Stegostoma tigrinum: one gene and its partners. The protein of the gene in region 1 interacts with the protein of each later gene in a pairwise test. Links are inferred from orthologs where the notes say so. Each region holds a gene or a part of one and is shown on either strand. Other genes may lie near its edges.

Region 1 (10,461 bases):
TGTAGGCGGGTACTAAGAAAGGTAATGTGGCTGTAGTACCTGGTTTGCTTCAGGACATGGTCGAGCAGTTTCAAGGCCGAAGAGATTACAAGGGAGTTGTACTGGGAGAGAGATCCCCTGAGGTTTGTCCAGAGGGAGGAGGGTAACTTCTCCAGGTTAGGCATCCCTAGAAGAGGCTTTGCAGTGAGATTAAAATTGTATCAGAGATAATGGGAACTGCAGATGCTGGAGAATCCGAGATAACAAAGTGTGGAGCTGGATGAACACAGCAGGCCAAGCAGCATCTTAGGAGCACAAAAGCTGACATTTCTGGTTGAGACCCTTCATCAGAAAAGGGGGAGGGGGAGAGGGTTCTGAAATAAATAGGGAGAGAACATTTACAGTTGCTTCATCAATGACCTTCTCTCCATCATAAGGTCAGAAGTGACTGATGACTGCAGTGTTCAGCACCATTAGTGACTCCTCAGGTACTGAAATAGTCCATGTCCAAATGCAACAAGATCTAGACAATATGAGGCTTGGGCTGACAAGTGGCAATTAACATTCACGCCACACAAATGCCAGACATTGGCCAACTCCAATAAGAGACAATCTAAGCACCATCCCTTGACATTCAATGGTGTTACCATCACTGAATCCCCCACTATCAACATCCTTGGAGTTCCCATTAACCAGAAACTCAACTGGACTCACCTTATCAATGTACTTACAAAAGCAAGTCTGAGGCTAGTAATACTGCAATGAGTAACTCCTCTCCAGTCTCTCAAAAGCTTGCTCACCATCTACTTGGCACAACTCAGGAGTGTAATGGAATACTCCCTACTTGCTTGGTTAACGGCAGCTCCTACAACATTCATAAATCTTGACACCATCCAGCACAAAGCAGCTTGCTTGATAGGCACCACATCCAAAAGCATCCATTCCCTCCGCTACCAATGCTCAGTAATAGCAGTGTATATTATTTGCAAGATATAGTGCAGAAATTCATCAGGGCTCCTTAAATAGCATCATGCAAACCCATGGCCATTTCCATTTGGGAGGAAAAGGGCAGCAACACATGGGAACACCACCAACTGCAAGGTGCCCTCCAAATCACTTAAGATCTTGACTGGGAAATACATTGTTAGAAATCACGCAACACCAGGTTATAGTCCAACAGGTTTATTTGAAATCGCAACTTTTTAAGTGCTGCTCCTTTATCAGGTGAAGTGGCACCACCTCAAAAGCTTGTGATTTCAAATAAACCTGTTGGATTATAACTTGGTGTCACAGCACTTTTGACTTGGTCCAACACCGGAATCTCTGCATCATGGAAATACATTGCTGTTTCTTCACTACTACTGAGTCAAAATCCTAGAATTCTTTCCCTAGGGGCATTATGGTTCCACCTATAACACATGGACCGCAGTGGTTCAAGAAGGCAGCTCACCAACACCTTCTAAAAGGCAGCTAGGGACAGGAAATAAATGCTGGCCAACCAGCAACGTCCAAATCCTATGAGTGAATAAATAATGTTGAGTAATCTCAATGTGACGACAGAACTTTGTTTCCACAAGGACTGTGCGGTGGCCACTCTTATCGATACTGTCACAGACAGACATATCTAAGGGAGGCAGATTGGAGAGGATTACATCAAATATGCTTTTCCCTCTTGCACACTAGGGCTTCACCTGCTACAGATCGAGTTAACAGATGTGACCAGTTCCGGCAGTGGTGGTGTTACTAAGCCTGCCTTGTGATAGACATTGAAATTCCCAAACCCAGAATACATTCTGCAACCTTGCTACTCTCGGTGTTTCCTCCAGGTGAACATGAAGAAGCACTGATTCATCATCTTAGGAGGCGAGGTGTGTTACTGGTAGTCAGCAGGAGTTTCTTTGCCCATTTTGACCCCTACATCCTGGGATTTTATGTGATTGAGAGTCAATGATGAAGACTTTGAGGGTAATTTCCTCCCAACTCAATATGCCCTGCCACTTGGATGGGATATATCAAATGACAATACTAATGTGACCTAATAAATGTGTTTGAGTGGTGTAGATAGTGGTACAGTAATATGGATACCATGGTTATAGATTGTGCCTTGAGGTTGACAAACAGGTTTTCTGGTTGCAATTGTTAGTATTTCTAATGTCGTTGAGATGATACAACCACAGGAATAAATGACTGAGAAAACCTCACACAACTTAAGTTCAAATCTGTTTTAAACTTCATCTGTGTATTTTGTCCTTGATTTCCAGGGAATGTCCTGTAGAACCTCAGCATGACTTCCCAACTCCTAGACTCAAAGGAATGAGCGATGAAGGCAAGTATGCCAAACACCTTTTTAACCCCTGTCCATATACCCATCTTGAACCCATAACTTGTAGCTCAGAGACAAGGACACCACTATTCTGCCACAAGAGCCACTATATCCATTCAAATACTTATTTGCAAAAGCAATACTAAATAAATAAAAATCAAACAGCTCATTAGGGCACTGGAACTGAAATGAAAACTGGAGGATCAAATCAAAATGTAGTGGTTGGGGGAAATAACACACCTCAGCCCCACATGGATCCTAAAAGCTGCAACCATGCTGTGTGCTCCCTCTCGAAGGTTACCTGGCTGAACATAATCTCAAGCACGACTGTTTTAAGGCTGCAGGTGGCATTGACTGTCAGCAAGATGTTCCCTGTGCATTTTTCTCCTATTTAAAGATCAGTTCAATGACAAAATTATGGTTGTCAGGAAATGTGATAACTCAGAGTTAGGTCTATTTTAAAGTTGTATTTTATCTCTATTGACGCATATGTGGATTTTGTTTATAGAACATAGAAAATTACAGCACAGTACAGGCCCTTTGGCCCTCTGTTGTGCCGACGTGTCATACCATTCTGAAGCCCATCTAACCTACACTATTCCATGTACGTCCATATGCTTGTCCAACGACGACTTAAATGTACTTAAAGTTGGCGAATATACTACCGTTGCAGGCAAAGTGTTCCATACCCTTACTACGCTCTGAGTAAAGTAACTACCTCTGACATCTGTCCTATATCTTTCACCCCTCAATTTAAAGCTATGCCCCCTCATGCTCGCTGTCACCATCCTAGGAAAAAGGCTCTCGCTATCCACCCTATCTAACCCTCTGATTATCTTATGTCTCAATTAAGTCACCTCTCAACCTGCTTCTCTCTAACGAAAACAGCCTCAAGTCCCTCAGCCTTTCCTCGTAAGACCTTCCCTCCATACCAGGCAACATCCTAGTAAATCTCCTCTGCACCCTTTCCAAAGCTTCCACATCTTTCTTATAATGCAGTGACCAGAACTGTATGCAATACTCAAAGTGCGGCCGCACCAGAGTTTTGTACAGCTGCAGCATAACCTCTTGGTTCCGGAACTTGATCCCTCTATTAATAAAAGCTAAAACACTGTATGCCTTCTTAACAACGCTGTCAACCTGGGTGGCAACTTTCAAGGATCTGTGTACATGGACACCGAGATCTCTCTGCTCATCTACACTACCAAGAATGTTACCATTAGCCCAGTACTTTGCATTCCGGTTACTCCTACCAAAGTGCATCACCTCACACTTGTCCGCATTAAACTCCATTTGCCACCTCTCAGCCCAGCTCTGCAGCTTACCTATCTATGTCTCTCTATAACCTACAACATCCTTTGTCACTATCCACAGCTCCAACGACCTTAGTGTCGTCTGCAAATTTACTAACCCATCCATCTACGCCCTCATCCAGGCCGTTTATAAAAATGACGAACAGCAGTGGACCCAACACCGACCCTTGCTGTACACGACTAGTAACTGGAATCCAGGATGAACATTTCCCATCAACCACCACACTCTGTCTTCTTTCAGCAAGCCAATTTCCGATCCAAACTGCTATATCTCCCACAATCCCATTCCTCCGCATTTTGTAAATAGCCTACTGTGGGGAACCTTATCGAAAGCCTTGCTGAAATCCATATACACCACATCAACCGGTTTACTCTCATCTATGTGTTTGGTCACCTTCTCAAAGAACGCAATAAGGTTTGTGAGGCACGACCTACCCTTCACAAAACCGTGCTGACTATCCCTGATCAAATTATTCTTTTCTAGATGATTATAAATCCTATCTCTTGTAACATTTTCCAACACTTTACCAACAACTGAAGTAAGGCTCACTGGTCTATAATAACCAGGATTGTCTCTACTCCCGTTCCTGAACAGGGGAACCACATTTGCTATCCTCCAGTCTTCTGGCCCTATTCCTGTAGACAATGACGAGGTAAACATCAATGCCAAAGGCTCGGCAATCTCCCCTCTGGCTCCCCAGAGGATCCTGGGATAAATCCCATCCGGCCCAGGGGACTTATCTATTTCCACACTCTGTAGGATGTCTGATACCTCTTCCTTGTGAACCGCAATCCCACCTACTCTAGTAGCCTGTATCTCAGTATTCTCCTCAACAACATTGTCGTTTTCTAGAGTGAATACTGTTGAAAAATATTAATTTAGTGCTTCCCCTATCTCCTCTGATTCCACACACAGCTTCCCACTACTGTCCGTGATTGGCCCCAGATACTAAATATGTAATCCACCACAGAAACTTGACGGTCTGCCATATCCAGATATATATCTATTCCTGTATAAAACATGCTCAATGATTGAGATTCCACAGCTTTCTAATTCAAAGAAAGCCAAGTATTTACCAACCTCTGAGTGCGCAAACTCCTCCCATCACAGTCTTAAGTGACCGATTCCCTAATCTGAGACTCTATATCCCTGGTTCTAGACTCACCAGCCAGGAGAAACATTCAATCTATATGCACCTTGTTATACCTTATAAGAATTTTTGTAAGTTTCAATGAGATTACCTCTGATTTTTCAAAACTCGATAGAATACGTGTCTAGTTTCCTCAATCTCTCCTCATTAGAAAACCCCATCATCCCAGTGATTAGTCTGGTGAAAATCCCTTTGCACTCTTTCTATGATATATATGTTCTTCTTTCGGGAGAGTTCTTGTGTTGCAGCCGTGGTGTCCCAACTTTTCTGAGTCAGAAAGCCTGGGTTCAGGTTCCACGTGCTCCAAAACGAAAATGAAAGAATTGCGGATGCTGTGAATCGGAAACAAAAACAGAAAAAGAGTTCAGCACCTGTGAAGATAAATTAGAGTTAATGTTTTGGGTCAAGTGGCCCTTCCTCAGAATTGCTGGACAGATTGATTAAAATAGCCACCCTTTCTTAGGAGATCAAACTGTATATGGCACTCCAAGCATGGCCTCACTCGAGCTCTATAAAATTGGAGGAAGAATTACAAGAGATAGTAGGAACTGCAGATGCTGGAGAATCTGAGATAACAAGGTGTTCTGAAGAAGGGTCTAGACCAGAATGTCAGCTTTCCTGCTTCTGTGATGCTGCTTGGCCTGCTGTGTTCATCGAGTTCTACACCTTGTTATCTCTTGAATTACAAGTGCCAGTTTCTCTGATGCTTGGTTTCCAGATACTTTCCATCGAATGAGCACAGTTGAACATTTCCAGTGTTCACCAATAGGCTTCCAAAGTGAAGCTGAAGAGACACCAACAGGAGATGCCCTTAGTCCTGTGTCAGTGGTTCTGTGGAGGAAGCATGCGCACGTCCCGCCCACCGGCACAAAATGGCGGAACAGGAGCACAGCTGAAAGCGCGAGAAGGGGCTGAGGGAAGGAGTGTGGAATCACATAATACAATCATTCGGCATTCAATAGGGGAAATCAGACTGTAACCTTCGAAAGGCCTTACCAGCACCGAGCGACCGGCTTGTCGACAAGGGCAGATTCACCTACCGCAGCCAGGTGAGCCAAGCTAACCTTATGTGCTCGCACTGAGAATTCACATATTCACAGGGGAAGCCGTTGGTTTGCGTCGCTCCAGAAAAAAGTGAAACGGTCTATGAGATTAAATAAACTCATGTAGGGTGCGGGGTAGGTTTATATTTGATGCTTGGCGTCTTTTGTGGGTGCAGAAGCTGAGGGACATATTTTGAATACAAGGGTAAAACGACATTTCATTGCGGCCTGGCCTCGCTGTGAGGACTGATCGTTTGGTCTCCCCTATGTTTATTTGATCAAAACCATTTCTAGCCATTTTCATCAGCCGTGAACCCGAGCATGGTGCTGGACGGTTTGAATTATCTCGCTGGGATCGTGTTGGAGTGGTCCTGGCCGCTCATTTTTAAAACGCACATTCATCTTGGGGTAGCAACGAGTCGAACAAACTTGCTGGTTTTAGACCCGCCTTTGGCTCCTGCCGCCTGCTGATTGGTCAGCTCCTTGTCAATCAAAGCCGGCTGCACCGATGTCATGTTCGGTTGCGCGGCTTCTCCTGGCCACATGCCCCTGTTCACCCACAGTGAGGGCGCCTCTAACCCCCTGGAAGGCATTAACATTATGCTTCCAACCCCTTTAATGAAGAGGCTTTTTAAAATCAAAATATTTTAAGTTAAATATCCTCCAACCGATAAAGGAAGTGATCTCCCGCTCGTTGGTCTGCCCCGGGGAGTTCACTAGGTTCCCAGTGGTGGGAACAGAAAGACATTCTCTCCTCGAAACAGTCGGGAGAGGCCCAGTGTGCACTTTGGTAAATTTACATCCGAACGTTGAAGTTTTCGGACAATTTCACAATGCGTTGTGCTGTGAGCTTATACGTTGCCCAATACAAACCCGGAAGTTCTCAGACTCGACTCATGAGTTATCAGAATAGTATGGAGAGAAAGCAAACTAACGTTTCGAGTCCAGATGACTTCTCTTTAGTTCTGAGTTATCTAGACCCGAAACGTTACCTTGCGCTCTCTCTCTCCATGGATGCGGCCTGGCCCGCTTTGATCTCCAGCATTTTATTTTTGTTTTCAGTACAGATTCCAGCATCTGCAGTAATTTTTGTATCAGAATAGTTGCTTCACATAATTTGGAGCAACATCGTCCATGGTGTGACTTTTGTGCTGCACACATAACCTAAATTATCTTCGTTCTCATTTCTGTCATTTAACTACGAGGTCATTTGGCTAGTTATTTTTGTGGGAGGTTATTCGATTTTATTTCTGAGAACGTTCTTTCCTAACATTTAAACATCGCTGGCAAGGTATTTTATTCCCAAATCTCATTGCCCACAGGAAGATTTTTGAGTTGATTTAATCCAGCCTATCTTGTGTGTTGTAGGTACACTCATAGCGCTGTTTTTAGGGAGCATTCTCGGGTGCAGAATTGATTGTGAAAAGATGCTGATTATAGTTTCACGTCAGGATAGTGGCTGGCTTGGGGAATTTGCAGGCGGGAATGTTTTTGTCTGCTGCCCTTGTTTTTCTCAACGACCAAGATGTTGTAGTTTATCTGGTCTACAATACACATTGCTGCTATTGACTCTCAATCAGTGGTGGATGAGGTGACTTTCTCCACCCCATGTTGAATGTCAAGTGATGTTAGTTTCTGTATTGAAGAGGATCACTACTCAGCACTTGTGGCCTGAATGTTACTTGATACTTGTCAGGATCGCACTCTGTCACACTCACTGTAAAGAACAGCCACTGTTTTCCCCTTGTGGCCATTCTTTTGTCTATCGTTGGACCATAGCTGTATTGAGGCCTGGAACTGAGAGGCTTTACGAGAACTCAAACTGAGCATCAATGAGGATGTTAGAGGATGTTATTGCTGTGCAAGAGCTGCGTGATGGCACTGTTGACAACATCTCCTCTCACTTTGCCAGTGTTCAAATGTAGACTAATGAGGGCTAGAATGGTGATCTCATGCTTTTTGTGTGCAGGTCAAATATAGGCTTTTTTCATATTTTCAGGTAGATGTTATCTGAAGCTGCTAGATATTTCATAATTCAGCTGTTCAGGTGTTATTGTGTGTTACATTGGAAATGCAGAATCCATTTGATGTTTCCTTTCTGCGGTAGGCTATTTATTTAACTTATTGTGGTAGAACATTAGCAAGGTCAGAGAGAGCTGCAGTGTAAGCTTATTCACCTAGCTTTGCGGTCTAGCTTGTTTTAGCATTTGTTCTAGCATTTTGCTTAACTATAGATGTTCTGACATGGTTGTTGAAGAAAAACCATGCTGCTTGTCTTTGAATGATTTTCCAGTTTGTTTGCAAGGTGGGCTCAGTAGGGGTCCCAGACTGTTCCTGTGCTAGCCAGTTTGGAACATACCAAGCCTTAAGTACCAGTCTAGAGTTTTATTGTATTTAGTTAGATATTTCCTTTTAAAAATTCTAGGATTTTGTTTGTGTTACAGCACTTCATTTTTTTTGGTGAATTGATGTCACTGAGGGAGAACACCAAGATACAAGTTTGTTTGATGGATGCGAGGTTGATTTCCCACTGTTGCCTGCACCTTTATTGCATGTAATTTGTGGCATTTTGATATATTAATTATGCAACTTAACTGTAGGACTATTACAGGCATATCTAAGTCATGGTACATGAGACAATCTGTAAACAGCCTGATGTTTGGAGTTGGGACGAATTTTATATCCAACACTTTGTGTACTCCAGTTCCCTGGGGAATATGCAGCGTAACTGGTATTGAATGTGATGTTTTTGCCATCAGCACATGAAATTTGGCTAATGAAAATTCAAATAACTCTAGATGTTCACTACTTATCCTGTAACTAGTTGACTTTGGCTGGTAGGATATTACATGAAGCCATTTAGAACTCCCTAATGTACTCGTTTAAGATTGACTCTTTTTTTCACTGTGTACAAGGATTTCCTGGTAGAACTGTGTTCGATTTTGAGGGAAAAAAAGTGATCAGTTGGCCTCCTGAATATGATTTTAGTATACACACTTGTTTAATCAGTCTTAATTTAGGCAATATTTAGTGCCCTGGCAAATGAATTAATGTGAAAAGGCATACTTGTATTTCAACTGGTTATGAACACAGATGGCTGTGTTGTTTGGAATAGTTGAGTACTTTAAGCAATGTCATCAGTTATCTTCTATTTAAGATTCACATTTTAAACAGTCAATTTTCACACTGAAGGATGATATACGGCAGCATTCCACAGGTGTCAATGCCTTTCTCCATGTATTTAAATAATGTAGTAACTGGCCACAATTTCACTTTCACAGTACTTCCAAGTTTTGTGTCGGAACATAGTTGTAAACTCATGTAAAGGGCAGACAGGTAGCAAATGAAATTTTACTGCAGAGAAATATGAAGTGATACATTTTGGTAGGAAGAATAAGGAGCCAATGGGTGAAAGAGCAGTGGGGCTTGATGATAAATATGCAGAAATTGTTGATGCTTACAGGGCCAATTGAAGATAGTGTCTGGTAAAGCATACAGAATCCTGGACTTTATGTGTAAAAGCTTAGAGTGCGAAAACAAGATATGGTGAATTTGTATAAAACACTGGTTTTACCTCACCTGGATTATTGGGTAATTCTTTGGCAGACTTTTTTAGAATAATGGAGGATTTAGGAAGATGCAAGAAAGATTTAAAATTAATATTTCTTGAGATGGAGGACACAGTTATTGGTGAAACAGAAGTTGTTCTCTTTCGAGAGTAAGATTTCAGAGGTGCTCAGGATCTCCGGGTGTCACCCAAAGCAGGTCAAGATAAATAGTTCCCTTTGCAAGCAGAGCCGAGAATTTTGACCATAAATTTGAGGTGATTGGTAAAAGACAACTTGAAAGAATGTTTATTTCTTCTCTACGACAAATTGAGTAGGATCTGAAATGCATTGCCCAAGAGATTGGTGACAGCAGATTCCATTGTGATTTTCAAAAGTGATGGAGACAAGCACCCGAAGATGAAAAGATGTGCAAGGTTACAAGGAGTTGATTGGTGAGCGGGACCAGCTGTCGTATTGCTGCAGCGAGAGAGCGCAACCCATGAGCTAACTAGCCAGTCTCTATCCAGTAAATGCTCTATGATTCAGTGAGGTAACAGTCCTCCTTGCTTATAGCTAGCCAGTAACATGCTGCAGGAGAAACCACACAAAATAGAAACAGTTAGAGCCTTATGGCTTGAATTACTACCCTGTGTTGTAAATAAATTTAGGTGCAATATCTGTATTTAAATTTACAGCATAGCATGGATAAGAAAGAATTGCATCCCTTGGTTTAGAGAGGCCAGTAACCATGGCATATAGATTTAATTGTTAGAAGGATTAGTGGAAATATTTGAGGATCTGGAATCTGGTGTCTGAAAGGAGTTGGCAGAAATCTAAATCTAATATAAAAAGTACTTGAGGTAGCATAATGTACAGAACTGAGGAGCAAGAAAGTGGGACTAACTTGAATAACTGTTTGTCTATGACAGCCAAAATGTGCTGTAAGGTTGCTGTTTATACCTTGAGATTTCCATTTCTTTCTTTTCATTTTTGAGATGAGATTTCTATTATTTATTCATGGGATGTGGCCTTTGTTGCCCAGCCCAGCATTTATTGTTCGTCTCTAACTACCCATGAGGCAATTCAGAGTCAACCAGACTGCTG
Region 2 (10,833 bases), on another chromosome or scaffold:
GGAATATGGATTCAGCTAATAAGTTCTCTTCATTTTGGCACAAATTCTCAGATACTAATAAACAGTTTGTAGGGTCAGCTAGTTTGGGTGTGCTCTTGTCATTTCCAGTACCCAGGTTAATGTTAAATGGACCATCAAGTTTTATTATTATTCAACTTTTCTGTATGATTAATATATAAATAAATGGCTCGCTTGGCCGTTTCAGAGGCCTGTTAAGAGACAGTCATGATGCTCTGGGTCTAGAGTCATGAGGCCAGACAAGGGGGTGGCAGTAGATTTCCTCCCTGAAATGGTAAGTGAAGTGAACTAGACAGGCTTTAACAACAGCAAAAACAAACTGCTGTGGGAATTAAACTTAGTTTTCTATAGCAACTAACATTCATTCTATGACCTCCAAATATTTCAAGTCCCTGATTTCTGCCTGTTATGGGGGATGGGTACCTGAAGGTAGGTTTTTAATGATTTGACTGACTTGTGATCTTGTTGGATTCAAAAGCATTTTAGGCATCCTACATATACAACAAAATTACAGTAAGACATGATCAAAACAACAATCAATAGAGATGGTACAGTGGCTGACTGCTTATCACTGTCTCAGTGCCAGGGATCCAGGTTTGATTCTGCCTTTGGATGACTTTTGGGTTTGCAGATTCTGTCTGCATGGGTTTCTGCAGTGCAAAGATATGCTGGGTAGGTGGATAGGCTGTGCTAAATTCACCATCTGGTGATGAGCAAGCTGGGTGCTTTCGCCAAGGTGGGGGGAAAAAAGCATTGCTGGGATGGAATGCTCTTCAGGGGTTTGGTGTGGTCTCAATGGGCCTAATGGTCTGCTTCCACTAGGATTCTAGAATCCTAAAACCTGTTTTGATTTAGATTAGGCTGTTTTCATTAGAGAAGGTTGAGAGGTGACTTAATTAGACATAAAATAATCAGAGGGTTAGATAGGGTGGATAGGGAGAGCCTTTTTTCCTAGGATGGTGATGGCGAGCACGAGGGGGCATAGCTTTAAATTGACGGGTGAAAGATATAGGACAGATGTCAGAGGTAGTTTCTTTACTCAGAAGTAAGGGAATGGAACGCTTTGCCTGCAACAGTAGTAGATTTGCCAACTTTAGGTACATTTAAGTCGTCATTGGATAAGCATATGGATGTACATGGAATAGTGTAGGTTAGATGGGCTTCAGGTCAGCACAACATCGTGGGCCGAAGGGCCTGTACTGTGCTGTAATGTTCTGTTCTATTACTGTTCTATATTATTACCAAGAATAACTACACTTGACATCAAGGCTGCATTTGACTGACAAAATTAAGTAAATAGCTACTCAGGAAAAATTTGATACATCACCCAATTCCTGAGTAATATTAAAGTAGTCCCATACTTATCATACACACCCCAACTACACCTTTACCATGCCAGTTGCAAACTCCCAGTCATCATTCCCCCAATAATTCTTTTCGCTACTATGCAAACCTCCATAGTCCATTTGGGGCAGCAGTTTTGGGAATTGGAAACCATGCATTGTCATGCTGATAAACATGCATGGGGCTTCCCATCAGCTGCACAACTTACAGGAAACGCTGTCCCCAAACTTTGACCTGACACTCCTTTTCCCACCATCAGACCTGAACTCACTTCCCCCTGCCAAACTTGAACCCCCATTTCCCAGCTGGTCCCAATTTCATTTATCCACTAACCACACTTGAAGATCTCAGTGGCTAACCTGAATGAGTATGCCACTACCATTACAGAGTTCATTTCCAAGTGTGTAGAAGATTGCGTGCTGAAGAAGTTAATCTGAATGTTCCCAATTAGAAACCACGGATGAACTAGGAGATCCGCTCCCCACTGAAGTCCAGATCTGAGGCATAGAAGTTGGACAATCCTAACCTATACAGGAAATCCAGGTACGACCTCTGTAAGGTCAGAGATGCCAAGCAGCAATACTAGACTATACTCGAGATCCAAACCAACCACATGGATACCCATCATCTGTGGCAAGGCTTACATGACACAATAGACTACAAAGCAAAGTCGAACAGCATCGCACGCAACAATACATCCCTACCCAACAGCTCAATGCATTCTACGCTCACTTTGAGCGGAAGATCAGTGAAACTATGTCATATGTGCCAATAACCTCGGACGTACCTGTACCCATGGCACCACTGAAGATGTTAGTTTGGCCTTGACAGTGAACCCATGGAAAGCAACTGGCCAGATATGGTCCCCTGCAGCACACTCAGATCCTGGGCAGACCAGCTGGTGGGAGTATTTGCTGACATTTTTAAACTTCGCCTTACTATGATCTGAAGTCCCCAACTTTTTCAATAAGACCACCATCATCTCAGTGCCAAAGATAAATTATGCAGTATGCCTCAATGACTACTGCTCGGTGGCTCTAACTTCCATTATTATGAAGTGCTTTGAGATGTTAATCATGGCGTGCATCAACTCCAGCCTACTAGATTGATTTGATCCTTTGCAATTTACCTACCAGCATGACGGGCCCATGACAGATGCTATCTCCCTGGCCCTACTCTTATCCCTGGAACATCTGGATAACAAGGATACACATGTTAGGCTCCTACTTACTGACTACAGTTCTGCCTTCAGCACCATAATTCGAAGCAAACCTATCTCTAAACTCAGAGACCTAGGTCTCAGATCCTCTTTCTGTAACTGTATTCTTGACTTCCTGACCCATAGATTGCAATCAATAAGAATGGGCAACAACATCTTTTCCAGCACAATCTTCAATACTGCATACTTATCCCCCAACTATACTCCTAACACAGTAACAATTGTGCAGCCAAATTCTGCCCCAAATCCATTTAAAAGTTTGCTGACCCCACTACTATTATAGGTCAAATCTCAAACAATGAATACACGGAATACAGGAAAGACATACAGTGCTTAGCAGCATGGTGTAAAGACAACAATCTCTCCATCAACATCAGCAAAACAAAGGTGCTGATCATCGATTTCAAGAAGCAAAGAGGAAGGCACACCCCTTCTGCATCAATCATGCCGACGTGGAGATGGTTGAGAGCATCAAGTTCCTGGGAGTGATGATCACCAATCTGTCCTGGTTCACCCACGTCAATGCGATGGTCAAGAAAGCACAACAATGCACCAAAGCGTAGTATGGTAACTGCTGTTCACAACACCACAAGAAACTACAGAGTTGTGAACATAGCCCGGTCCATTATGCAAACCAGCCTTCAATACACTGACTCCAACCATACTTCCTGCTGCCTAAAGGAAGTAATCAAAATAATAAAGATCCCTCCCGCCACAGTTATTCAGTCTTCCAAATGCTTCTATCCAGCAGAAGTTGTAAAAGTTTCAGTACACATATGAACAGATTCAAAAACAACTTTTCCCCAGACTTTTGAATGGGTTTCTCAAATGTTAATATTGATCTCTCTCTCTCTCTCTCTCTCTCTGCACCTTCTCTGCAGCTGTAACACTGTATTCTGTGCTCTGTCTGTCATCCTGATGCATTTTGTACAGTACAATCGGCCTGTATAGTATGTAAAACCAAACTTTTCATTGTATCTCAGTACATGACAACAATAAATCAACTAGTCAGATCCAACCCTAAACATCACCTACCCCGGTACTGATGCTACCTTCTCCCTTTTCCCAAATGGCACCCTTTCCCCTCTACCTCTGGCACATTATTTACCTCTACTTACCAGTCAAGCTAACATCATACTTACTTTATGCACTTACCTTTTGACAGCAGCTATCAAAATGTTTGTCTAGACCTTTAAATTTCAGAACACAACAGCTAATTACTGTGAAGAGTGGGCATGATCTGCCTTCCCCCGATAGCTCTGCACTACACAAGGAAGTAATCAAGAAGTTCAGTTAGATTTTATTTTCTGTGCTTCAGTCCACATTTTTTGCCAATTACCTGTTATTTTATGTTCTTATATTTAATTCCTGAAACTTGATTAGTCACAACAGTCATTACAACACAGGAGGCCATTTAGTTCATGATGGCACCCCCGACAGTAAGTCAATCAGTCCTACTCCCCTGCTCCATCCAGTTAGCCCTGGAAGTATTTAAGTGTTGGTCAAATTTCCTTCTGAAATAATTTGTCATCTTGCATCTAGCAAGTTCCAGCTTACTACAACTCACAGCATAAAAAGGTTCTTTCTCACATTCCCCAGTACTGCTTGCCCTTATGTCAGTCTCTTCTAGTCCTTGTATATCAGCTAAGGGAACAGCTTTTATTCTGCTGTTTTATCTAAAGCTGCGTTGCAGTCTTCTAGGTTGTAATTTCCCTATAACCTTTCTCTTGGAACAAGAGAAACAATCTCAACATCTCCAATCTAACAGTATCTAAAATCCCTCAATTCTGCAACCATTCTCCTCTGCACCTTTCAAAGATCTTCATATCCTTTCTAAAAAGCATGACCGTAACTATACACAGTACTCTAAGTGGATCCATCCAGAGATTTATAAGAAAAATACAGAATAAATTCCTCAGAAATAGCAAGAACTGCAGATGCTGGAGTTGGAGATAACAGCGTGGAGCTGGAGGAACACAGCAGACCAGGCAGCATCAGAGGAGCAGGAAAGTTGACAAGAGACAGGTTGTAGGGAAATTACAACCTAGAAGACTGCAACACAGCTTTAGATAAAACAGAAAAATAAATGTTGTTCCCTTAACTGCTAATACAAAGACCAAGAGAGACTGGTCTCAGGTTTTAGTCAACTTTCCTGCTCCTCTGATGCTCCCTGGCCATCTGTGTTCCTCCAGCTCCACACTGTGTTATCCTAGAATTAATTCCTGTCCTTTTATCTTCAATTATGAAGCAAAAGTCATTATGCCTTGTCAACTAATCTATCAATATGTCTGGACGCTATCAAAAATCTATGCACACAAATACCGAGGTCTTTTCGTGTCTAAAGATCCTTTAGAACCATGTCATTCAGGCTATATTGACTCTCCTTATCCCTTCCATCAAAATACACATGGTGCTTCTCAGTGCTAAATTCCACTTGGCAACTTTCTGTCCATTCTGCTAACCTATCCATGTAACACTGCAGTTGATTGGTATTACCCTCAGTTTACCACATGAGGTTTGGTATCTTCTCAATGTGATGTTGTGAGGTAATAATAATGTAATTCAGAGTTCCAGATTAGTACTGTAGAATTCCGTCTCAAGAGGTGGTCAAATTTAAATTTCACACAATAAATCTAGAAAGGATGGACAAGGAAAACTTCTGATAACCAAACAAGTACAAACAGTAGCAGAATGTACCATGTAAAGGAACCAGTGGCTCAGTAGCACCACTAATGACTGATTTCTAAAAACTATAACTGCTAGAATGGGTTTGTGGCTGGTAGTGATGGGAAATGATTTACTTTCACTCATCCTTACCAATCTATCCATCACAGATGCATCTATTCTTCACCTTGTTAGCAGGAATGACCACCACATAAATCCACGCTGATTAAGTCCCATCACGTACACTCAATCGTGTTACGGTGAAGAGCTCAAGCAATTCAAATTGAGCTCCGTGAGCTGCTATGGCCCATCAGCAGCAGAACTGCATTCCACCAGAACTGATAGCCTCATTGCTTGGCATATCCATCACTTCATTTAACATCAAGCAAGGGATCAACCCGGGTTCAAAGTATGCAGGACAATGTGCCAAGAGCAGCACCAGAAATTGCTGAAAGCAAGGTAAACAAACACAGAAGGCTTGAGAAATTCAGGAAGTCTGACAGCATCTGTGCAGACAAATAGGGTTAAAGTTTCATGTCAGGTATTGCTCTTCTTCAAAACCACAGGAATAGTTCTGCCCCATTCTGCTCTATATACACGAGATATGGATGGTATACCAGTGTTATACTAAGACGTTCAAACACTTGAACCCAAATTGGGATTGAGCTTTTCTGAAAATCACATGGCAGGGCAGAATACTCAGCCACTGAGGTGCTCATCCTAGCTGGCATGTCAAGCATCCACATCATATTGACATAATCACAACTGAATCGGGCTGGTCATCCAACCGGAATTCTTCACAGCTGCTTACCAAAGTGGATCTTCTGTCCAGCAAACTCGTTCAAAACTCAAATGCCTGTGATTTCCTATCCTATCTGCAGTAGAGTCTTTTGGACCCAGGTCGGCTTCAGCAGTCACTTACTTTACCACTGGAATCCAAAGGGTGAAGACGGTTGACCCTTACATCAAATGGTGATTAAGAGATACCGCCTTCCTTACCAGTACACAGGCCTTCCTTGACTTTCTTTTCACAGCCTGGCCGACAGACAAGAACTAACTCCTTGACCCTAGCTGTCTTGGAACCATAAGATACACCTTGTATCGTGACTTTAACTTCTAATTATTTGCGTCCGTCGCTGGCCAACCCCACTTATGGCTAGGGCTGAGACTCAGGGCAAAACTTCTCTTTTCCCACAATTGAGCAGTGGCTGTGGTATTTCGTCTAACTGCTTTCTCCACTACTGCGCAAGCGCACGGTGTTCCCTCTTCCGGTGGATACGCCTCTCTGATGAAGGGTCTCGGCCCGAAACGTCAGCTTTTGTGCTCCTGAGATGCTGCTTGGCCTGCTGTGCTCATCCAGCCTCACATTTTATTATCTTGGAATTCTCCAGCATCTGCAGTTCCCATTATCTCCGGTGGAGATGGCAGTTTTTTGTCAATCGCCAGTGTGTCACAGCAAAAAGATTCCCCCACTCCATCACTTCCGGTATGAGGATTTTCATGTTGGGGTGGTAAGACTACGACCCTTTTTCAAAAATAGCAATCCCGTAATCGGACGAATATGTTAGTTTTGTTTTGTGAAATGGAAAGTACGATAATCAAACTTGAGAAGAGGGCTTTAATTTGGAAGCGAGTTGGCGGAGTCGTAAACGATTGGTCGGGGAGAGAAGAGCTGTTGAGGGTGCGCAGACGCAGATAGTGCGTCGGTGTCGAGGTGGCTGTTGGGATCGCTGCATCCGCGCTGCCGCCATATTGTGGGTTCGGGTCTAAGGGTCTAACGGTCGGTGGGCGAGAGCTCGGAGAAGCGAGCGACAGCTGCAGGTGAGCTCCTTCCTGCTTCTCCTCCCTCCTTCGTCCCCGGAGGCTCTCCGGCCGCCAACGCCGAGGCCTTCTTCGTCGGGACCCTCAGCCATGGCGTTCTCTGTGATAGGCCGTCCCCAAAGTCTAGGACGCTCCACACCCTGCACTTGCACTTCGGCCTTTAACTAGCGGGCCGCATTTGCCGTGTCTCCCCGGGCCGTGGGTATTCTCTGGAGAACCCTCTGATTCTCCGAGTGTGTGGGGTGGCGGCGAAGAAGGAGACAGAGGTTCTTCACCGTTTCCAAAGGCGAATCGCCACTTTTTCTCCAAGCTCCGTCCTCGTCTACCCCTCAAGATTCTTCAGCCGGTCGTTTAAAATCGCAGGTTTTATTCTAGTAATTGGCACAGTATTTACAAGTGAGGTGGACGACTTGCTTCACCCGCCCAGTCATAGCGGTACAAAGGTGGGCTGTGGTCGGTATGTGGAAGCTAGGGATGTAGTTTGATCCTGTCCGAAACCTCCGGGGGGGTGGGGTCGGGGTCGGTGGAGACTGAAAGTAAAGGAAAAGATTTTTTATTTGGTCCAAAGTAACCGATTCTATTGTAATAAAAACTTGAACTGTCATGCTACAGTTCTGAGTTCTAATACTACTTTTTCTGGTCAGAGGTTTTTATACCGAGTTTTCATGTCATGGCTATATGAAATGTACAATGTCCTGCATCATCTGAAGATTGCTAGTTGCAGTAGACAAACTCTGGATATATTAGAGCGTTCATGTTTAAATTAGACCAATGTTCAAATTAGGTTATAACATTTGGTGGTTTGAGCACTTCTGTCAGGGATTGTAGGAGTGATATTTAGGGAGTTTGAGTAATGTGTGGAGTCCAAGAAATTGTGAATCAAGTGCAGAAAGTCAAAGTGGCAACTGTCTTAAAGTTGTAGAGATATATACAACATGGAAACAGACCCTTTGGCCCAACTTGTAACTACCAATCAGATATCCTAAATTAATATAGCACCATTTACCAGCATTTGGCCCTTTTCCCTCTAAACCCTTCCTATTTGTGTACCCATCCAGATGGATTTTAAATATTGTAACTACCAGCTGCTTCCTCCACCCCTGCCAGCTCATTCCATACACATACCACTGTCAATGAAAAGGCTGCCCCACCGGTCTCTTTTAAATCTTTCCCCTCTCACCTTAAGCCTATACCCTCCAGTTTTGGACTCCCCTACCCTGATGGAAGAAAACTTGTCCATTCACTTTATTCATGCCCCTCTATAAGTTCACCCCTCCACCTTCAGTGCTTTAGAGTAAATAGCCCCAGCCTTTCCCTATAGCTGAAATCCTCCAAATTCTGGCAACATCCTTGTAAATTTTTTCTGAACCCCTTCAAGTTCCACAACATCTTTCCTATTGTGGGAAGACCAGAATTGAATGCAGTATTCCAAAGGTGGCCTGACCAATGTCCTGCACGGCCACAACATGTCCTCCTCCCAGCTCCTATACTCGTGCACTGACCAATAAAGGCAGGAGTATTAAATGCCATCTTCACTACCCTGTCATCCCCATCTCAGATATGTCTTCCTGAGGGTCTGGAAAGGAGTTACGTAACACTGATGGTTAGAAAGTACAAAAATATTAGAGGAGTAGCATCTATTGTGTTTTAAAAGAGTAGGGCTCAGAAAATTGGGATCCACAATGATAACACCTTCTGGCTTCTCCAACCGATTCCTGTAGTCAGGGATAGTCAGAAGGGTCTCGACCCGAAACGTCAACTTTGCTGCTCCTCTGCTGCTTGGCCTGCTGTGTTCATCCAGCTTCACACCGTGTTATCTCAGATTCTCCAGCATCGGCAGTTCCTACTATCCCTGTAGTCAATTACTGTATTTTCAACCGTTGTCTCTTTCCGTGTTGCCAACTGCTTCCGGCCTTTTTATATATCTGACAGTCTCGGGGAGGTTGTCTATTGTGATTTAAGCACATTGCAGGCGCCAAGAGTTGAAGATTTAATGGAACCATGCTAATTACTGACTCTTATTATTTTCCAGCTAGAATTCTGTTGACAGATTAATTTGTTTATTATATTTTCTCTTTATTTCTACATTGTTTATTAACTGAAATTTCTGTTCTAACAACCCATTCTCTCACTGAACTGTTTCTTAAGAGTTAGAAAATAATTGTTTGCTGGGGAACCGGTTGATATTTCCAGTTTTTCTTAAACATCTGGAGCTTCAGTATGTAGGATATACCATTTGATCTAGTGATGGATAAATTAAGTTATAAAAATTGCAAGTAGCCAGAACACAACAGAGTTGCTGAAACATTCTCCAATTGTTTTAAAGTTAAATCATTTCGTCAAAGCCTGTGCTTTTAAAAGGGACTTAGACTAGGGAGGCAGAGAGAACAGTAGTAATTGAATGTCCTAAAATAAAGGCACATATTTGTGAAATACGTAGCCTTAAATATTTTAGTTTTAAAGGTTTACTGGAAGTTACAAGTTCTGAAAAATTGGAATGTTTTCAACATTTCAAAAAAGTATGAATTAAAATTAGTATACTTTGAGATATGACATCAATCATAGTTTTTTTTAAAAGCGTGATTGCCTTTTTATTTAAGGTGAAAATCTATCCATTATGGTGCTTTTACAGCTGTAAGGTTTATTTGATCATATTGGGAATGTTTAAATACAGGCATGGCAAGCCCAGTAAAAGATAACTACAGGATGAGAAGCTACAAGAACAAAGCATTAAACACTCAGGAAATGCGAAGACGACGAGAAGAAGAAGGTATCCAGTTACGGAAACAGAAAAGGGAAGAGCAGGTGTGTATGTGATCATAGTTCTGTAAAAGTTTTTTGATAAGTAGATCTGGTTCATGCCTTCATTTGATTGCTTTTTTTTCCTGCTTGTGTTCCAGTTGTTCAAGCGCAGGAATGTGGCAGTTCCTGGAAGTGATGAAGCCATGTTTGAAAGCCCCATTCAAGACCCCGATATAAGCTCTACTGTAGTCTCTTTACCTGGCGTAAGTAGAAAGAACAAGAATGTTTTTGTCTGTGTTGAACAGAATTTCTAAACACTGAAGTGTCCAATCTTAAATGTCTTCTATTGTAGGAAGGTGTAATCACAGTAGAAATGGTACAGATGATCTTTTCAGAAGATCCTGACCAGCAACTTGCAGCCACACAGAAGTTTCGGAAACTGTTGTCAAAAGGTGAGAATCTTGGGCTGAATGCAGTGCTGTGGAGAGTTCTTACTATTGGAGGGAAGGGAAGGAGAGAAGGGAGAAGGAACAGGAGCCTGCCAGAATGATGTTACGGGAGTAGGAAGGGTGGATTGCCAGAACAAGGCAATAAGGATTCCTTTTACACATTGTCTTAAGACAATTTAAACGCAGCGATGGCTGGTAAATCGATGCTTTCCTTTGAAATGTGGTTTTAAGTTTAATGGAAGGTTGATCATTATTGAGGATATTGATTAATTATAATATTGCATCTGTGCAAGTCCAAATAAGGGCAGTCCCTGGGTTACGAACAGGTTCCGTCTGAATATGTTCATAAGTCGATTTGTGTACAAGCCGAACACAATTCAGTACAGTATAAAACAGCTGTTCATAAGTACAAGCAAATATTCGCATGTCTAGTCTTTAAAATTAATATTCTTATGGAATCTCGAATCTCACTTATAAGTATGTATGTTTATAAGTTGGTAAGAAGTGAAAAATAAACCCAGAATTGAATAGCAGTTTCTGAGAAAATCACAGAGCTGGAATGAGAGGATGGGCTTT
Region 3 (10,288 bases), on another chromosome or scaffold:
GGGAGCAGAGGAGGCCTGCAGATACCACCCCTTCAGATAACCCTGAAGGAAGGATGTGGTCCAGTACGAGTTAGACAATATCCCATATCGATAGAGGGATGGAAGGGGCTCCAATCGGTTATTGAAAATCTCTTGCGAGATGGACTGATAGAAGGATGCATGTCTCCCTATAATACCCTGGTCCTACCAGTGCGGAAGGCCGATGGGACGTTCCGCCTCGTCCAAGACCTCAGAATTAAATAAAATTGTCCAGACTCGACATCCAGTTGTCCCGAATCCTTATACCATCCTCAATCGGATTCCTCCCAATCATGAGCGGTTCAGTGTGGTTGATCTGAAGGACGCTTTTTGGAGTTGCCCGCTTACCGAAGGGAGTCGGGACCTGTTTGCCTTCAAATGGGAGGACCCCCAGACCGGGAGGAAGCAACAGTACCGGTGGACAGTTCTTCCCCAAAGATTCACTGAATCCCCTAACCTGTTTGGCCAAGTCTATGAGCAGGTATTAGAGGAATACCATGGGGACCCGGGTACACAACTGATACAATATGTGACTGATCTTCTAGTCTGAGGAGAAAGAGAGAAGTACGAGATTCCACTATAACGTTATTAAACTTCCTGGGAAAGAAGGGGTTGAGGGTGTCTAAGAACAAGCTGCAATTTGTCGAGCAGGAGGTGAAATACTTGGGTCATTTAATCAGTCAAGGGAAAAGAAGAATAGGTCCGGAAAGAATCGTGGAATTACTAGTATGCCCCTACCGAAGAGTCGGACAGAAATTAGAAGGTTCCTAGGGCTCATTGGGTACTGTAGATTGTGGATTGACGAATACGCCCGACGAGTCAGGTTTTTGTATGACAAACTAGGAGGAGAAGATGAGAAGATAACATGGACTCCGCAGGAGCGACAAGAGTTCACTCGTTTAAAAAAACAGCCTGGTAAACGCTCCGGTTCTGGCTCTACCCTCAATCAATCAACCCTTCCACTTGCTCGCAAATGCCGAGAACGGGGTAGCCTCGGGAGTGCTAACTCAGAACGAGGAGGGCAGCAGCACCCCATGGCTTTCCTCTCAAAGGTTCTGGATCCAGTATCCCGCGGCTGGCCGGTGTGCCTTCAAGCGATTGCAGCCACGGCCATCCTGGTTGAGGAAAGTCGGAAGCTCACGTTTGGAGGAATCCTGGTAGTGTCCACCCCACATACTGTCAGAACGATTTCTGGCCCAGAAATCTCATCGATGGCTGACAGATTCCAGGATATTGAAGTATGAGGCTATTTTGATGGAAAAAGACGATTTAACCATCGTCACAGACAAGAGCTTAAATCCTTCCCAGTTCCTATATCCGCCCAAGGGAGGGGAAGAATCTGGGAACCTGGAGCATGATTGCAGTGAGGTAATAGAGCTACAGATAAAAAGCAGGGAGGACCTGGAGGAGGAGCCCCTTGCAGAGGGGTGTAGGTGGTTTATAGATGGGTCATCCCGCTGCATTGATGGAAAAAGATACAATGGATACGCCATCATCAATGGGACCATGGAAACCGAAGTAGAGTCCGGGAGACTGCCTGGCGGTTGGTCTGCCCAATCCTGTGAACTATATGCTCTGGTGAGACCGTTGGAATTATTGGAGGATCAAGAAGGTACTATATATGCTGACTCAATACGCGTTCAGGGTAGTACACACTTCTGGGAAGATCTGGAAGGAACGAGGAATGATTACAGCAAGAGGAAAAGAGCTAGCTCATGAACAACTTATTGAAAAGACCTTGGAAGCCCTATTAAAACCTGAAAAGATAGCAGTGGTGCATGTCCCGGGACATCAGAAGGGAAATTCGCCTGAGGCTAGGGGCAACAGATTGGCAGATGAAGTGGCAAGGCAAGCTGCCCAATCTGGGACTGTGCGGATGATGTCCCTTATTCCCCTGAGAGAAGGGGGTAAAGAAGGTGCCGGTGTTCTCGGTGTTTGATGAAGGACAAATGGAGGAGCTGGGAGCCAGGATGACGAGAGATGGGAGGTGGTGGCTACCTTATGGGAGACAGCTGTTGAGCAAGGAGATCACCAGAGAACTGTTGGGAGAACTGCACTCACAGTCGCACTGGGGAGCCCAAGCATTATGTGATGCTCTCTTGCGGGTGTATGCCTGTAGGGGGATCTTCACTCTGGCAAAGCAAGCGGTCTCTCGATGTATAATTTGTCAGAAGATAAATAAGAAAGTGATGACAGCCATGCCAGGAGGGGGACAGCCATTGGCAATTCAACCGTTCCAAAGAATACAAGTGGATTTCACTGAGATCCCCAGCGTCCAGAGATGGAAGTACCTGTTGGTGATAGTTGATCACTTTACCAGGTGGGTGGAAGCCTTTCCCGCCGTCAGTGCCACGTCCCAAGTGGTGGCCAAGATTCACTTGGAACACGTGATTCCCAGGTATGGGATAATAAAGTCCCTAAACTCAGATTGTGGAACACATTTTGCTTCCAGGACACATGAACTGACTTGTGACACTTTAGGGACGAAATGTAAGTTACATGCACCATGGTACCCACAGAGCTCGGGAATGGTCGAACAAATGAACGCCACTCTAAAGACTCAGATAACAAAATTGATGGCAGAGACGAAGCTTCCCTGGACTAAATGTTTGCCGATAGCTCTGCTCAGGATACGCACCGCTCCACGCAGAGATATAGGGATGTCCCCTTACGAGATGTTGTTCGGGCTCCCATACGTGGGAAAGATAGAAGGGGTGCCCACTATTGAAGGTAATGATGTATTTCAAATGAACTATTTACTGGCAGTCTCTCGTTCCCTTACAGAGTTAAAGGCCAAAGGGCTGTTGGCGCAGAGTCCTCCTCTCGATTTTTCTATCCACTCGATCAGGGCGGGAGACTGGGTTCTGGTCAAGTCGTGGCAGGAAGAAAAACTCCAGCTGCAGTGAACTGGTCCATACCTGGTGCTGCTGACAACAGAGACAGCAGTCTGAACGAAAGAAAAAGGGTGGACGCATGCAGCACAGATAAAGGGACCAGTGGATCCGCCAGCTGAGGAAGAGTGGGAGGCACGGGAGGGGAACAACCCATTGACGTTAAAATTGAAGAAGAAGATAAAATGAAGGGTTTACACTGTACTGTTATTTTATTGTTAATTGTAGCCTGGGGAGAGGGAAAGAATCATTTTACCGCTTATGTCAAAACTATGCTAGACAAACGGGGCGCACCAACTGCTGGGTGTGTGCTGCAATCCCACATCATGGGGAGTCCAGAATTCCTCTGACCAAAGAAGAAATAGGCGAGGTGCTGCAGTTTGCCTCCACTTTAAATGATACGTGGGAATCGGTCAGGGGTGCATGGAATTCTAGTCACGGGAATTGGTAGCCACGTTGGGGAAGGTGGAACAGGAGCAAGGGGAATTATAGTTTCAAGGGATGGTTTCCTCAGCCGGCCCCAGGGACCCAAGGTGCAAATGACGGTCTCAGAGTTTCGCCACCTGGGGGACAGGTTAACTCAACGTGTTTCTGTAACTGGAATGATAGAGCCCCGTTCCAGTTGGGGAATTTGTCTTGTAAACTAAACATTCTAGCCTTAGACACCACCCTACCCCAAGTTTTGAATGGGACACGCTGGGTTTGCCATAAAAGGCGTATCCATATCTACCCGGGGACATGCACCAACACCAAGGGGAGGAGGGGTCCGGGTGAGGGAGATCCTTGCCCCATGATCAAAAGGGATGAAGTGGCTGTTGTTACCTAGCCCATTTGGTTCCACATATGAGACTCCTGGGGCGGCCCCTAAGCTAAACCAGAGACAAGGAGGAGGGAGACGTAACCTCCGAAAAGTAACTGAGGGGGATTGTCTCCTCTGGACCTTGTTACCCATGTATGGGACTGCCCGATCAGGGAGAGAGATGCAGAAGCTGGCAGCCTCTCTGGAGGAGTTGGCCAACGACACTTCTGATGCTTTAGCCGATACCCAATCCCGGGTGGAGGCCATAACCACTGAGCCGATTGCCACTAGGCTAACGGCTCTTCAAAATCAGATGGCTCTAGACATTGTTCCAGCCAAAAAGGGCGGTACCTGTGCACTAATTGGGGTAGAATGTTGTACATACATACCTGACACCTCCCCAAATATTACTGATATCTCCCAGCACGTGCGAGACCAGATCGCCAAAGTAAGGGAAGCCGGTAACAAGTACCGGAACGAAAAAGGATGGGAATGGGGAAATTGGGGATTGACCGGTGGCTGGTCAATTGGCCATTTATGGATTGCTGATACTAGTGGGTCTGGTGGTGGGGCTCAATGTCCTGAAATGTGTATTGAGCCGATTGATGACATCCCTTGAAGGGGTGACCCAGATTCACCGCCAAAGGCTTCTGCAATCGGAGGATAGTATGCAGCAGAGAGAGATTCAGAGGATGCTCCGGGCGTTCGAGGGACGGGATCCCAAGGTGCAGTTTAATCATGATGCATAGCAAAAAGAAAAAGGGTGGATTGTGAGAGATAAGGATGATTAAACTGCAGTGAAAAGAATTACTCAGCTTTGAACCAAAAGACATCTAGTACTGAGCCGTGATAAGAAAAGGAGGTGAGGGCCAAGTGGTTAGAAACCAGAATGAACTGGTCCAAAACTACTAGCAGACACCCAGAGGGTGAAAAGGTCAAGCTTTGCACAATAGACATAGTTGAAGTGCATGCCTAATGAGAGAATGCATATTAACTTTTATGCCCATGCTTGCGAAGCTGCTTAATTAACATAACATGCGATGTATGAAGGGGGTGGGACAAGGGAAGTAACGGGAAGATTGTGCACCTTGGAGCTCAGATTGGACGGAGCCAAAAGGGGAGGATCTGGCTGGAAAAATGATGTATAAAAAGAGGAGGCTCCCTGGCCTGTGTGTGTCTCAGGCAATGGGAGGCACCTGATTCTGCAGACTTGTAATAAAGCTTAGGTTACTTGTTTCTAAGACTTTGACTCCACTGACTCTGTGATTGTGAGCATGTGAATCTAAATCTCACAATAAATGAGGTCAGGGTAATAGATTGATAGGAAACAGTAACTATAACATTCAGTTTGAGAGTGAGAACTTGGGTCACAAACAACTGTGCCAAACTTAAATAAGGGTGATTACAAGGAATGACAGCAAAGCTAGCTGGAGTGGACTGTGTAAGAGGTATAAAAGCAAAACAATTAAGAAACATTTGCAGACATTTAAGAAAATAGCTCATGATTTGCAGGAAAGATATGTCCCAGTCAGACAGAACAATTCTAGGAAGGGGACAAGCCAAACATGGTTATAAAGGAAATTGAGGGTAGCATTGGACTCACCCCCTCCAACTGAGTAACACTGCAGGAAATTTAGTGAATTCATTGGCTGGTGACCACTACCATTGGGGAATGCTTCTTAAAAACCTGCAAATTAGAAAAGTGTACTAAGTGACTAACTGAATGTCAAAGACAGTGCAATAACGGAGAACAAGAAATAATAGGTAAGTCAGCCGAATTATGATCAGAGAAAGATGGTAAGGTTAACACGGGAGAAACTTTTAAGGTTAAATAAGACCAGGGCATCATAAGATATAGGATAATTAGGTCATTCAGTTTGCAAGAATCATTCGAGGAATGAGAAAAATCAGTTATAAGCTGAAGAAGTTGGGGTGTTATAATTGGAGAGAACAAGGTTAAGAGGAGATTTGAGATAATGGGAACTGCAGATGCTGGAGAATCCAAGATAATAAACTGTGGAGCTAAATGAACACAGCAGGACAAGCAACATCTCAGGAGCACAAAAGCTGACGTTTCAGGCCTAGACCAGCTCTGATGAAGGGTCTAGGCCCGAAACGTCAGCTTTTGTGCTCCTGAGATGCTGCTTGGCCTGTTGTGTTCATCCGGCTCCACATTTTATTATCTTAAGAGGAGATTTGATACTGTTTTTCAAAATCACGAGCGAGCTGCACAGACGTGACAGGTAGAAGCTGATCTCTTTTGTAAAATTAAAAAAAATTAACTTGATGGACGATAGACCACCCTGCAAGAGCTGAATGGATTCCTTCTGGTTATAGTTTCCTGACAGAGAGTGAAACAGAGTATAAAAAGTGACATAGACAGTTGGTACAGAGATAGTAGGACCTGCCGATGCTGGAGCATCCGAGATTACACGGTGTGAAGCTGGATGAACACAGCAGGACAAGCAACATCAGAGGAGCAGGAAAGTTTGACGTTTCAGATCAAGACCCTTCATCCGAGACAGTTGGTACTGGTTTTGCTGTGAACGGTGGGGGCGGAGAGCAGAAGCTGCCGTTTTCAATTTGCGCGCGCCTGCAGGAGCCAAGGCCCCGCGAGCCCCCGCGCGCTGCCGCCATCTTGGATCAGAGTTGTTTCTGGAAACAGCCGCGCGGCCCCGATAACAACAACAACCGTCAGGCAGGAGTGAGGACCGACAATGGGTAAGTGTGTGTGTGAGGGAAGGGGGTTCGGGGGCGAGGGAAGGGGGTTCGGGGGCGAGGGAAGGGTTGTGGTGGGTTGAGGGTGAGGGGACAGGAGGGGTGGGGGTTGCGGGAGGAGTCGAGGCAGAATTGGCAGGACGGGAGGGGCAGGGATGGGTTGAGGGGACAGGAGATGTAGGGGCAGGTCGGGAGGAGTGGGGGCAAGGGTGAGGGTGTGGGGGCGGGACACGGGGAGAGGGGAAGGGGGCGAGGTGGACGGGACGTGGGGAGGGGGGGGGGGGCGGAGCGGGGAGGGGGGGGGGGGCGGAGCGGGGAGGGGAGGGGGGGGCGGAGCGGGGAGGGGAGGGGGGGGCGGAGCGGGGAGGGGAGGGGGGGCGGAGCGGGGAGGGGAGGGGGGGGCGGAGCGGGGAGGGGAGGGGGGGGCGGAGCGGGGAGGGGAGGGGGGGGCGGAGCGGGGAGGGGAGGGGGGGGCGGGGCGGGGAGGGGGGGCGGGGCGGGGAGGGGGGGCGGGGCGGGGAGGGGGGGGCGGGGCGGGGAGGGGGGGGCGGGGCGGGGAGGGGAGGGGGGGGCGGGGCGGGGAGGGGGGGGCGGAGCGGGGAGGGGGGGGCGGAGCGGGGAGGGGGGGGCGGAGCGGGGAGGGGAGGGCGGAGCGGGGAGGGGAGGGGGGGGCGGAGCGGGGAGGGCGGGGCGGGGCGGGGAGGGGGGGGCGGGGCGGGGAGGGGGGGGGGGGGCGGGGCGGGGAGGGGAGGGGGGGGCGGGGAGGGGGGGGCGGGGCGGGGAGGGGGGGGCGGGGCGGGGAGGGGAGGGGGGGGGGGGGCGGGGAGGGGAGGGGGGGGGGGGCGGGGAGGGGAGGGGGGGGCGGAGCGGGGCGGGGAGGGGAGGGGGGGGCGGGGCGGGGAGGGGGGGGCGGAGCGGGGAGGGGAGGGGGGGGCGGAGCGGGGAGGGGGGGGCGGGGCGGGGAGGGGGGGGCGGGGCGGGGAGGGGAGGGGGGGGCGGGGCGGGGAGGGGGGGGCGGAGCGGGGAGGGGAGGGGGGGGCGGAGCGGGGCGGGGAGGGGAGGGGGGGGCGGAGCGGGGAGGGGAGGGGGGGGCGGAGCGGGGCGGGGAGGGGAGGGGGGGGCGGAGCGGGGCGGGGAGGGGAGGGGGGGGCGGAGCGGGGAGGGGAGGGGGGGGGCGGAGCGGGGCGGGGAGGGGAGGGGGGGGCGGAGCGGGGAGGGGAGGGGGGGCGGAGCGGGGAGGGGAGGGGGGGGCGGAGCGGGGAGGGGGGGGGGCGGGGAGGGGGGGGGGGGCGGGGAGGGGAGGGGGGGGGGCGGGGGAGGGGAGGGGGGGGAGGGGAGGGGGGGGCGGGGAGGGGGGGGGGGGGCGGGGAGGGGAGGGGGGGGGCGGGGGAGGGGAGGGGGGGGAGGGGAGGGGGGGGCGGGGCGGGGAGGGGGGGGCGGGGCGGGGAGGGGAGGGGGGGGCGGGGCGGGGAGGGGAGGGCGGGGCGGGGAGGGGAGGGGGGGCGGGGCGGGGAGGGGAGGGGGGGGCAGGGGGGGGCGGGGCGGGGAGGGGAGGGGGGGCGGAGCGGGGAGGGAGGGGGGGGCGGGGAGGGGAGGGGGGGAGGGGAGGGGGGGGCGGGGCGGGGAGGGGAGGGGGGGGCGGGGAGGGAGGGGGGGGGCGGGGAGGGAGGGGAGGGGAGGGAGGGGGGGGCGGAGCGGGAGGGGAGGGGAGGGAGGGGGGGGCGGGGAGGGAGGGGAGGGGAGGGAGGGGGGGGCGGAGCGGGAGGGGAGGGGAGGGAGGGGGGGGCGGAGCGGGAGGGGAGGGGAGGGAGGGGGCGGCGGAGCGGGAGGGGAGGGAGGAGCGGGAGGGGAGGGGAGGGAGGAGCGGGAGGGGCGGGGAGGGGGGGGCGGAGCGGGAGGGGGGGCGGAGCGGGAGGGGGGGGCGGAGCGGGAGGGGGGGCGGGAGGGGGGGCGGGGAGGGGGGGCGGAGCGGGAGGGGGGGCGGGGAGGGGGGGGCGGAGCGGGAGGGGGGGGGGCGGAGCGGGAGGGGGGGGCGGAGCGGGAGGGGAGGGAGCGGAGCGGGAGGGGGGGGGCGGAGCGGGAGGGGAGGGAGGGGGGGGCGGAGCGGGAGGGGGGGCGGGGAGGGGGGGGGCGGAGCGGGAGGGGGGGCGGAGCGGGAGGGGAGGGAGGGGGGGCGGAGCGGGGGGGAAGGGGGGGCGGGGCGGGGCGGGGTGGAAGGGGGGCGGGGCGGGGTGGAAGGGGGGGCGGGGTGGAAGGGGGGAAGGGGGGGCGGGGTGGAAGGGGGAAGGGGGGGCGGGGCGGGGGGGAAGGGGGGGCGGGCGGGGGGGAAGGGGGGGCGGGGAAGGGGGGGAGGGAGGGGCGGGGACGAGGGGGCGGGGACGGGGGGGCGGGGAGGGGAGGGGGGCGGGGAGGGGTGGGCGGGCGGGGCGGGGAGGAGAGGGTGGGGGCGGCGCGGGGACGGAGGGAGGGGCAGGGAGGAGGGGGCGGGGAGGGCTGGGAGGGAGGTGGGGCGGGGAGGGCTGGGAGGGAGGGCTGCGGGGGAGGGCTGGGAGGGAGGTGGGGCGGGGAGGGCGGGGAGGGCTCGGAGGGAGGGGGGGGAGGGAGGGGGTGGGGGGGAGGGGCCGGGGGTGGGACGGGAGGCGGTGCGGGCCGAGTGGGCAGGGCATGGGCCGACTGGGATGAGGGGACGGGGACGGTGGGGTGGGGTGAGGGGATGGGATTTGGGTGAAGGGTCGGGGCGGGGACGAGGCATGGGGTGAGGGAATGGGAGGTACAGGGGCTGGGTGAGTGGATTAGGGGGCAGGAGGTGCAGGGGTGGTGTGAAGGGACTGGAAGGGTGAGGGGATGGGAGGGTTGCTAGTGGGCTGAAGGGGACGGCTGGGGTGGCGTGAGGGGGAGGGGTGTGGGTGGCGTGATGGTACGGGATGGGGAGGGACAGTGTAAGAGGACAGGTTGGGTTGGGTTGGGTGGGCAGGGTGAGTGGCGTGGATGGAACAGACGGGGATGGGAGGAGTGTGGGTGGCTAGGGTGAGTGAGTATGGATTTTAGGTTTAGAAGAGATCCAAGAGAATTTTTCTTCATTCAGAGTGATGAGGATTTTGAGCTCTGTGCCTAAATGAGCACTAGCAACAGATACACTCAAATCACTTCAAAAATCCATGAAGTGTTGTACTTTTTACAATGTGCAAACACCTCAAAGCTCTTCAGAAGTACTTTTGAAGTGGGCACTGTTTCAAATCAGGAAACAAAGCAGCCAATTTACAATCCACAGATATTCACAAACATCAAAGTGACAATAATGTGATTTTGTTTGTGATTGAGAGATTCCATGCGATCTAACATTCCAGAGCAGCCTTCCATATGGAACTTTACCAAAGGCCATGCTGAAATCCATATAGACTACAAACTACTGTCCTACCCTCTTCAAGTTGTCTGGTCACTTCATCAACAAACTTTAACAAATATGTGAAGCATGATCTCCCGTGCACAAATCCATGCTGACTACTCCTAATCAAACCCTCTTTCTAAATCCACATATAGCGTATCTCTCAGAATCTTATCAAGTAACTTAGCTATCACTGATGTTGGGGATATTAGTCTGTTGATTTGGAGCCAATGTGTTTGTTGATGGAGTTCTGGTTGGAATGCCATGCTTCTAGGAATTCTCGTGCATGTCTCTGTTTGGCTTATCCTAGGATGGATGGGTTGTCCCAATCAAAGTGGTGTCCTTCTTCATCTGTACGTAAGGATACTAGTGATAGTGGGTCATGTCGTTTTGTGGCTAGTTGATGTTCATGTATCCTGGTGGCTAGCTTTCTGCCTGTTTGTCCACTGTAGTGTTTGTCACAGTTCTTGCAAGGTA

Evidence for each region.
Region 2: the proteins of nup50 (region 1) and kpna5 interact in binary tests that used the Homo sapiens proteins (3 or more experiments, as listed by UniProt). The two-hybrid records come from large-scale screens. The link is inferred for Stegostoma tigrinum from reciprocal best matches to the Homo sapiens genes NUP50 and KPNA5.
Region 3: the proteins of nup50 (region 1) and importin subunit alpha-7 interact in binary tests that used the Homo sapiens proteins (3 or more experiments, as listed by UniProt). The two-hybrid records come from large-scale screens. The link is inferred for Stegostoma tigrinum from reciprocal best matches to the Homo sapiens genes NUP50 and KPNA6.

What each region holds. Positions count from the first base shown.
Region 1 is NC_081371.1:18,012,452-18,022,912, forward strand, and holds the start of nup50 (nuclear pore complex protein Nup50), read left to right. Parts: upstream 1-5,613; 5' UTR 5,614-5,815; intron 5,816-10,461. UniProt on the Homo sapiens protein: Component of the nuclear pore complex that has a direct role in nuclear protein import. Actively displaces NLSs from importin-alpha, and facilitates disassembly of the importin-alpha:beta-cargo complex and importin recycling.
Region 2 is NC_081357.1:56,761,408-56,772,240, reverse strand, and holds the start of kpna5 (importin subunit alpha-6), read left to right. Parts: upstream 1-6,933; 5' UTR 6,934-7,066; intron 7,067-9,740; 5' UTR 9,741-9,742; coding exon 9,743-9,871; intron 9,872-9,966; coding exon 9,967-10,071; intron 10,072-10,160; coding exon 10,161-10,260; intron 10,261-10,833. UniProt on the Homo sapiens protein: Functions in nuclear protein import as an adapter protein for nuclear receptor KPNB1. Binds specifically and directly to substrates containing either a simple or bipartite NLS motif.
Region 3 is NC_081377.1:47,828,263-47,838,550, reverse strand, and holds the start of importin subunit alpha-7, read left to right. Parts: upstream 1-6,323; 5' UTR 6,324-6,425; coding exon 6,426-6,429; intron 6,430-10,288. UniProt on the Homo sapiens protein: Functions in nuclear protein import as an adapter protein for nuclear receptor KPNB1. Binds specifically and directly to substrates containing either a simple or bipartite NLS motif.